2 linked regions of the Lytechinus pictus genome follow. Each later gene encodes a partner of the first gene's protein in a complex. Links are inferred from orthologs where the notes say so. Each region holds a gene or a part of one and is shown on either strand. Other genes may lie near its edges.

What was found.
Region 2: the proteins of methylcrotonoyl-CoA carboxylase subunit alpha, mitochondrial-like (region 1) and methylcrotonoyl-CoA carboxylase beta chain, mitochondrial-like are in contact, whole or in part, in a cryo-EM structure (PDB 8JXM), measured with the Homo sapiens proteins. The link is inferred for Lytechinus pictus from reciprocal best matches to the Homo sapiens genes MCCC1 and MCCC2. Residues at the interface, in NP_064551.3 of Homo sapiens: Glu519, Phe526, His531, Asp532, Phe534, Ser535, Pro536, Phe537, Ser538, Ser539, Ser540, Ser541, Gly542, Arg543, Arg544, Leu545, Asn546, Ile547, Tyr549, Thr550, Arg551, Tyr568, Tyr636, Leu637, Ser641, Glu644; in NP_071415.1 of Homo sapiens: Leu56, His57, Val60, Glu61, Lys64, Asp88, Ile91, Pro93, Gly94, Ser95, Pro96, Phe97, Leu98, Glu99, Gln102, Ile123, Gly124, Arg125, Gly128, Glu130, Arg234, Trp276, Leu278, His281, His282, His285, Lys298, Lys299, Leu300, Ile304.

Annotation. Positions count from the first base shown.
Region 1 is NC_087260.1:10,672,116-10,676,045, forward strand, and holds the start of methylcrotonoyl-CoA carboxylase subunit alpha, mitochondrial-like, read right to left. Parts: upstream 2,528-3,930; 5' UTR 2,286-2,527; coding exon 2,251-2,285; intron 1-2,250.
Region 2 is NC_087247.1:31,535,984-31,539,913, forward strand, and holds the start of methylcrotonoyl-CoA carboxylase beta chain, mitochondrial-like, read right to left. Parts: upstream 2,221-3,930; coding exon 2,057-2,220; intron 1-2,056. UniProt on the Homo sapiens protein: Carboxyltransferase subunit of the 3-methylcrotonyl-CoA carboxylase, an enzyme that catalyzes the conversion of 3-methylcrotonyl-CoA to 3-methylglutaconyl-CoA, a critical step for leucine and isovaleric acid catabolism.

The sequences.
Region 1 (3,930 bases):
CGTCTTCCCTCTCTTATTTCATTTTTTGTTACTGTCTTTCTTTTTTAATTTTCCTTCTTTTCTTTATCTTTCGTTCTTTCTGTCCTTTTAAAAAATATTTTTCTCCGTTTTTGTTTCTCTTTCTTTTTTTTCTTTCTTTTTTGATTTCTTTCTTTCTTTATTTCTTGAGTCCATCCATCCTATATTTATCTCTTCTTTCTTTCTTTCTTTCTATCTTTCCTTCCTTCCTTCTTTTTACCCTTTCGTTCCTTCATTCTTTGTTTCTTTTTTGTTCTTTCTTACTTACTTGGATTTACTTGGATGTAGAGACATAAAGCTGGAAGCTTATTTGTCCCTCGTCACGTAGGGTTGTCTCTGGTATGGTCAATATTTTAATGGATGGGATTTCCAGTGCCTCTCGATTGCAGATTTATTTGCATTTACACTACTTAGCAGAAACTGCTTCCTCAGGCAAAGCATTCCAGTTATTAATGGTTCTAGCTGTAAAAGCATATTGCAGTGTCTGTAATCTACATCAGTATTTCCTGAATTTCATACTATGACCTCTGGTCCTTTTATTATCATCAAGATGGAACAGGCTACTCAGATCTATCCGATCAATACCTCTTGTGATTTTGAAGATTTGAATTAATTCTGCTCTTTGCCTTCTGTATGAAAGAGTAGGGAGTCCCAAAATTCTCAATCTTTCAGGGTAATCTAAATGACGAATGCTGGGAAGTAGTCTCGTTGTATCTTTTCTAGTTGATCTTCATCTTTTTTCTAAGACTGGAGCCCAAGCAGGATTACAATGTTCTAGGGTAGGACTTGCAATAGCTTTGTAGAGTTTGAGCCAGCCCTTCTCATTTAGAGCCGTGAAGGATCTCTTAATTATGCCAAGCTTGGTATTGGCTCTTTTTGCAATATCAGCAGCATGTTCAACATTTCCATCCATCCTTTCTTTACCCTTTCTTGTTTCTTATTTCTTCCTTCTTTCAGCCTTCGATCTTTCTCTCATTCCTTCCTTTCTTCTTTGTCTTTTGTTCTTTCTTTCTTTGTTCCATCCATCCTTTTACCTTTTCTTTTTTTCTTTCTTATTTTTTTCTTTCTTTATTTCTTCCTTTCCTTCATTCTTTTAAGGGAGCAGCAGATAATCACAGGTTGAGGTTTCACTGCTAAGCTTATATAATATAAAGACAGTTGATTTGGAATAATGCGCTTAAAAATGTGGATTTTTTTTTCAAGGTCAGAGAACTTCATTAAAAAAGTCAATTAACCTACATGTATTTGAATCCTGCCTTATGACCGAATCTGAGTTAAAACAAGTATGTGCAAAAGCTCCCTATACCGTGGAAGGGGGGACACCCCCCCTTCCCCTTCCACCCCCCCTCGGGCTTGGTCGCTTCGCTCCCTCCCTCGCAGAGCTACCAAGTCTCACGCATTGTGCGTGAGACTCACGCATTCAGGGTCCGTCTCACGATCTCACGCATGGCACCCATTTTTCTCACGCATCGGGACCCGACAGTATGGACATGGTAGTAATATGGATCGATATCATGATGAAGCCTATAATCAATACTATATCTCGCGCACGCGCCTTTTCGAAACGTACAAGTGTAAGTACTGGTTGCGCGCGCGCAGAAACGCCGAGTCATGAAAATCTCACGCATAACATTTTTTTGAACTTGGCATCTCTGCCCTCACAATGTCTCACTCCAAACTCTTCTCAAAAGTTGGCAGCCCTGTTCTTGGCTGGTTGCCAGCCCAAGATCACTCACATGTATTTCGAGGTTAGTATTAGTATACTAATAGTATACCCAGTTGTTGTGTGTCCGGACGATCAATTTTAGAATATAATTATTAATAGAATTAGAAACTAAACTATTTGGAAAAATAAATACAAGCGAAGTTTCATCAATTTTTAATACAAAATCAAAAATGTTAGGAAATATTATAGAGAACAAATTAGAAGATTATTACTTCCATTGAATTCATATTTTTAGTGTAATCCAAAGACAAAAAAGAAGGCATCAAAAATATAATGTGTCCGGACATCCGACCCCCCATCCTAGTGAGTAATACTAATATAGAACTAGAAGAAGTTGAGAGCGCTAGCCTAACGTTAGGCTACACAAAATCATACATGTGGGTCTACATAAAAAATATAGCGAACTTGTAATACGTCATTAAATAAATTTTGCTTGAGTAAACCATCATAAAGACGGTGTAGTTATATCTGATTTTACCAATGCTTTTCAAAATAGGCAAACATACCTCGAATTCAGCTGCAATATCAGAGAAGAAGCCATTTTTAACGTTCTTTCCGAAAAATACGAACCAGCAAAAAAATTCACAACCTCGTATGTTAAATGTTACTATTTATTGATTTTCATGATGATCAGACTTCAAGATTTTTCACAAGAATACCTTTAAAATTATATAAAAATGAATTTAGTAAATTAAATTGATTTTTTTGTAATTTTATTTAAAAATGCGAGAAGCAACGACCCTTGGCCTTGACCGATTGGCAACGTTGTTACCAGCAACCATTATCAACATATCTGAAAGGTAAGCCCATTTCATCGCTTCATTTTCTCATTTATTAAGCTAAAAAAGCAATATTTTTATATTTTGTGAGATTTTTTCCGTGGAGTCAATCGTATACATATTGAGTGTGGCTATTTAAGATGTAATTATAAATTTAATGTATTGAAACACAACACGAAAATTAATGATCAGATTAGTTTATCAGACTAGTCACTAACGCCGGCGCAGTCCCATATGCTGTTAATTGTGTAGGCCTAGGTATGACTTTATTTTGGAGGTGTTTGTTGTATGGTAGTGGTCAGTGGATCGTATTACCGAACACTTTTCATGAATTCAATCATATCAAACACATTATTATCATAAAATTCACCAAACTTTCACCATAAATACACAATTACCTACAAAATATAAATATGTAAAAATTTTGCCGAAATCGTTAGTCCTTTTTACGATATTAGCTTCCAATCGGACCCCTCTTCGCATGTGAAATATTTTGGTCACATGAAAAGGTATCGTATTACCGAACATGTGTTTTCTATGGGAAAAGTTGAAAAAACAACAAAATCACTGATGAGCTATTTTGACCATATTTTTGTTATTTTTAGAATATTAAGACTTTGATAATGTGTTTTTTACAACTTTTCATCATCTTTCTATTTAAGTTCTCTTTGGAAGGATGTTGCCCCGGGATGTTGCAAAATTTTGAGCGAATAAAATTATTTTCTGATGCGTATGATGCGCGCGTTCGGTAATACAAGGCCGGTCGGTAATACAATCACTCACTATATAATTGTCATCTGTTCTTCTCTTCCTTTAAACTATCTTTTCTGCATTTCATTTCCTATTCCGAGTTACATTATTAATATTATGTTAACCCTGGCCTAAATAACCCCTAGTCCAAACCAAACTCCAGCAATAAATAAAATATAATTTGTCAGAAAAAAAAAACTATGACTATGAGGCCTAGGCTAGGCCTAGGGTGTCTGGAGAAAAAAATTATTTTTCTTATTTCAAGAAAATATCACATTTTCTTTGTGAATTCGAAGAGAAATGACCTTCAGACTGACAGAAATGTAACATTTTTGAAAAAAATCCAATTATTGGCTGCAAAAAAGAAGAATGAAATTAGGCCTAGGAGGTAAATTTTCAGCATTTCTCTGCCAAAGACTGTGTAGTTAAGAAATGGACACACACAAATCCAAATTTTTAGCTTCCGAGATCGAGAGCTGTTATAAATTTATTATTAATGCCAAAAACTTGTCCATAAAGAGTCCAATAGGATTTTTTATGCTCTATCTGATGGTATGATTTTTATAAAGATTTGGAAACCAGATCACAATGAAAAATTGCGACAAAGTGAAAAAAATTGTGCAAAACAGAAATTTCATTTTCCCATAGAAACGCATG
Region 2 (3,930 bases), on another chromosome or scaffold:
AAAGTTTGAGGAAGATTGAATGAATAATAAGAAAGTTATGAGCATTTGAATGTCGAGATCACTAATGCCATGTAGATCCTCCTATTGGCAATGCGACCAAGATTTGTGATGTCACACACGTACAACTCCCTCATTACTTTAGTACTAATTTCACTTATATTCTCACTTTTATAGAGTCTATCACAAGGTGAGGTGTTCACTTTATGAGAGGACAAGTACAGAGGTTTCACAACATTATATCATTGATGAATCGTTTGTCATATGATTAGAATGAGCAAAAAGAGATGTTTTGGGGTATATTTTCAGTGTCCAAAAGGGGAGAGTTGTTCATCTGTGACATCATAGATCTTGGTCGCATTGCCAATGGGAGGATCTCCATAGCATTAGTGATCTCGACATTCAAATGCTCATAACTCTTTTATTGCTAGTCCTATTTTAATCAAACTTTTGTTGATCTTATTCTTTGATTTTTCTGCTTTCACAAAAGCTAACTTGCTTCAAGAGTTTCATTCTCCTTTAAAGCAGGACTAAAGCTTTGGTTAAGGGTAAAGAATTATACTCAAGTATCATTTGACATGCTACTGAGTACTAACACAAAATAGTTGTGACCATTGAATAATCTTTCAACTGTTAAAATAAAATTTTGAATTGTTTCATATCTAGGGCCATTTCTCAGACCTGATAATATTTTTGATTTTTCTTAAAAAAATGGCATATAGTGCAATCACCTTTATGCAAATAAACATTAAAAAAGAAATCATATCCTTGTATTTTCAACCTATTCCATGCTTGAGAAGTGGTTTTATACCAAAAGAAGAGGTGGTAAAAGAGTAAATATATGAACAAATATTGTAAAATAAAGAAATGCGTTTGATCATCACCACTACAATTATATTGGGAATTCAATTTCCACTTTGTCTTCTTCATTTTACACTTCGTCAGACGTGACCTGCCACCTCAAAACCAACAATTAGTTTATTAACATGAAACTTGAGATTTCTCTTGAGCTTCAAAAAGGACATCCATAGCCTATATATATAACTTGTCAAAATTGATTAAAAAATAACCCACACAAGGATCAATTGAATCCATGTAGAATGTATTCAGTGACAGCTTAAAAAAATAAGGAGAAAACAAGAAAACAAGGTTCGAATTTTGGGGTTCTCTCAAGCTTGAGATACAGGCCTAAGAAACTTTCAAGCAGTTCAGAAAAATTGATGTCAAAGAAAATCGTGTATATTGGCTTTTATTAATTTTACAACTTAAATTTAAACAGCATGAAGAAGGATAAATACTCTTTCAGATAAGCTAATTTCACTATTTAAGAACAAATTTGACCAGCCACCAAAAAACCATCAATAAGTTGCCCAACAAGTATTTTGAGATTTTCACATCCCAAGCTTTAAGATGATATATATCTTGTCAAAGCTAGTCAATAACCCATACAATTACTTGATTGGATGCAGAAGTACATGTAAGCGGCAGCTTAAAACAATAAGGGGAAAACAAGATTTTAATTTGGGGGTTCACTCAAGCATGAGATGTACACACTGAGCAATCTCAATGAAACATCCAAGTACTCTGAAAAAACTTGTGTCAAAATAACTCTTTCATCTTCTTTTCTATCAAACGCTTACACTTGAAATTTTAACAATATGATTATGAAGAAGAATTGCTCTTTCAGATAAGCTAATCAATTATTTGGTTTTTGAAGATCAAATTACTATTTTGGCTATTTACAGAGAACTGTTCCCTGGCGATTTATTGTTTTGGGGGTGGCTGGTCACAAACAATTACAGGGAACTTTCCCCGGTGACTTATTGTTGTTTTGGGGTTGGCGTAGATGTTACATGAAATGGGTAAAGCCTACGTATCTGGAAATTAGACAACATAGTGAATGGGCTAAATGGCAATTAGACCAGATGGTTAGAAGAAGAACTGATTGTAATTGAACTAGGGTTAAATCAAGCGAAAGGAGACAAAATGGATGTAGACAACATGGGTGGCGATTAACCAAGAAAACTAGAAACATACATACTACTACTAAAAAACTTACCCTGGGTCTAAAAGATTTGTTATTCGCTCTCTGACGAGCATCTTTCCTTGTGAAACATGTCGCGCTATACTCCTCTCTCCTCCACCCTGTGCAATCTGCGATACTGTAGATTTCAGTTGATTAACAAGTCCTTTCATCTGTTCATAGTTCTCCTGCAATGGCATGATAAACACATCCAAGTATTAGTGGTGCTAGCGAGGAGTTATAATTGTCTTCAAGACATTTGGGGGCAAATTAAAAGTGTTCAAATCATGTTTTTTTTAACATTCTTACACAAATAGAGCAAGAACTTCAAAATAGAGAGAAAAAATTAAATTAGAACTACGATGTTCAAAGTCATTGGGCAATTCACTGAACTCTTGTTATATCCACAATGCCTATACCTCCATCTATAGTTTGATGCTGATATATATATATTTTTTCTCATTCAGGAAAAGGAGCCCAAAAGCAATAAAAAGTGAAAAATAAATGAATCTATAACATATTCTTTGATTATCCCAATAAGGTATTTTTATACCTAAATAAGCCAAATATGACGAAAAATTATTCCATATATTCTTGGATTATCCCCAAAATGTATAAATAAGCTTATATAATGAAAAGTTTTCTATTCTCACCAGAATCGTATTTTCTCCCATTAAATTTCCATGTATGTACATGTTAGTCTAAAAATATATCTTTTAGAATTCAGAGTCAAGAAAGAAGAGATTATTCCTCATTTTCAATGTTGAAGAATAAGAAAGTCACAGCTAAAACAATGCCTTAAGCTGTTATATTATAACTCCTATCGAGGAACTTCTAATCTTTCAGTGCGAACTTGCGAAGTGTACAGCCCAGTCTCGTATTGCCTCAAAAAAGTCATTGACCCACAGGCCTCTCATGATTATGAACAGTGATACATAACAGACATAAAATGGTAAGAGTTAAAAGTATAAATGTAAAAAAAAACCACATGGTCTGTCTTTCAATTCACCTCAATGGTATTAAACTTTTGTAATGAATTTTGTTATTTCTCTCCAAGACGTGACACTGCTATGATTGTAACAAATCGCTATTCTGAACACTGGGTTCTCTCTTTCATATCTCTGTACATCCCCGCCCATCTTTACACAGAAAAACCAATCAGAATCACCATTACTTACAAGCGGGAGCCCCTCTAATCAATAGGAAGCCCAGAAAAACATAGGGGGGGGGGGGTTTCCTAAATACAGTAGCTGAGACTGCTCGTATATTAAGGTGTTTAATCAATCATAATCATATCTAGATGAAATAATTCTTTAAAAAATACCCTGTTCTTTGAAGAAAAAAAATTATTCTCATTCTCTCATTTTCATTGTTTTTTTTTTCTCTTGGTAATTTTATTCAATTTGAAAATGAAAGTAAGGAGGACTTTTATTTTTGTTAAAAAAGAGAAAATAAATAGAAGTTCTAAGGAACCATATAGAATCTGCATGCTGTATAAGATGATATAATAATTAGTAGTATTATACTAATTATTTATAATCACGTATTAAATTTTAGTATTTGTGAAATAATATTTTTTATCTATAAATTGTTGTTCAAAATGGCATCGCTAATCGGATGTATGTCATAACGAAGCGGTTCAAGGGTCAGGTCTATTGTATTTGCTTTGTTGACAAATGGATCGAGGGATCTACACGAGATCGGCAGCGGCGTAACAGGGGTCGGTGGCCAGGGGGGGGGGGGGGGCAAGAGCCAAAAATTTCCCTTTCATATCATGGTATGAACAGGCGTAATGGTGTAGTGAGACGACTATTTTGAGATGGCCAGATATTGCGTGTCGGGCAGAATTAAAAAAAAAAGTTGCGAGCGAGCGAGCAAAAATTTTGACCTTTGTAATACAAAAATCCAAT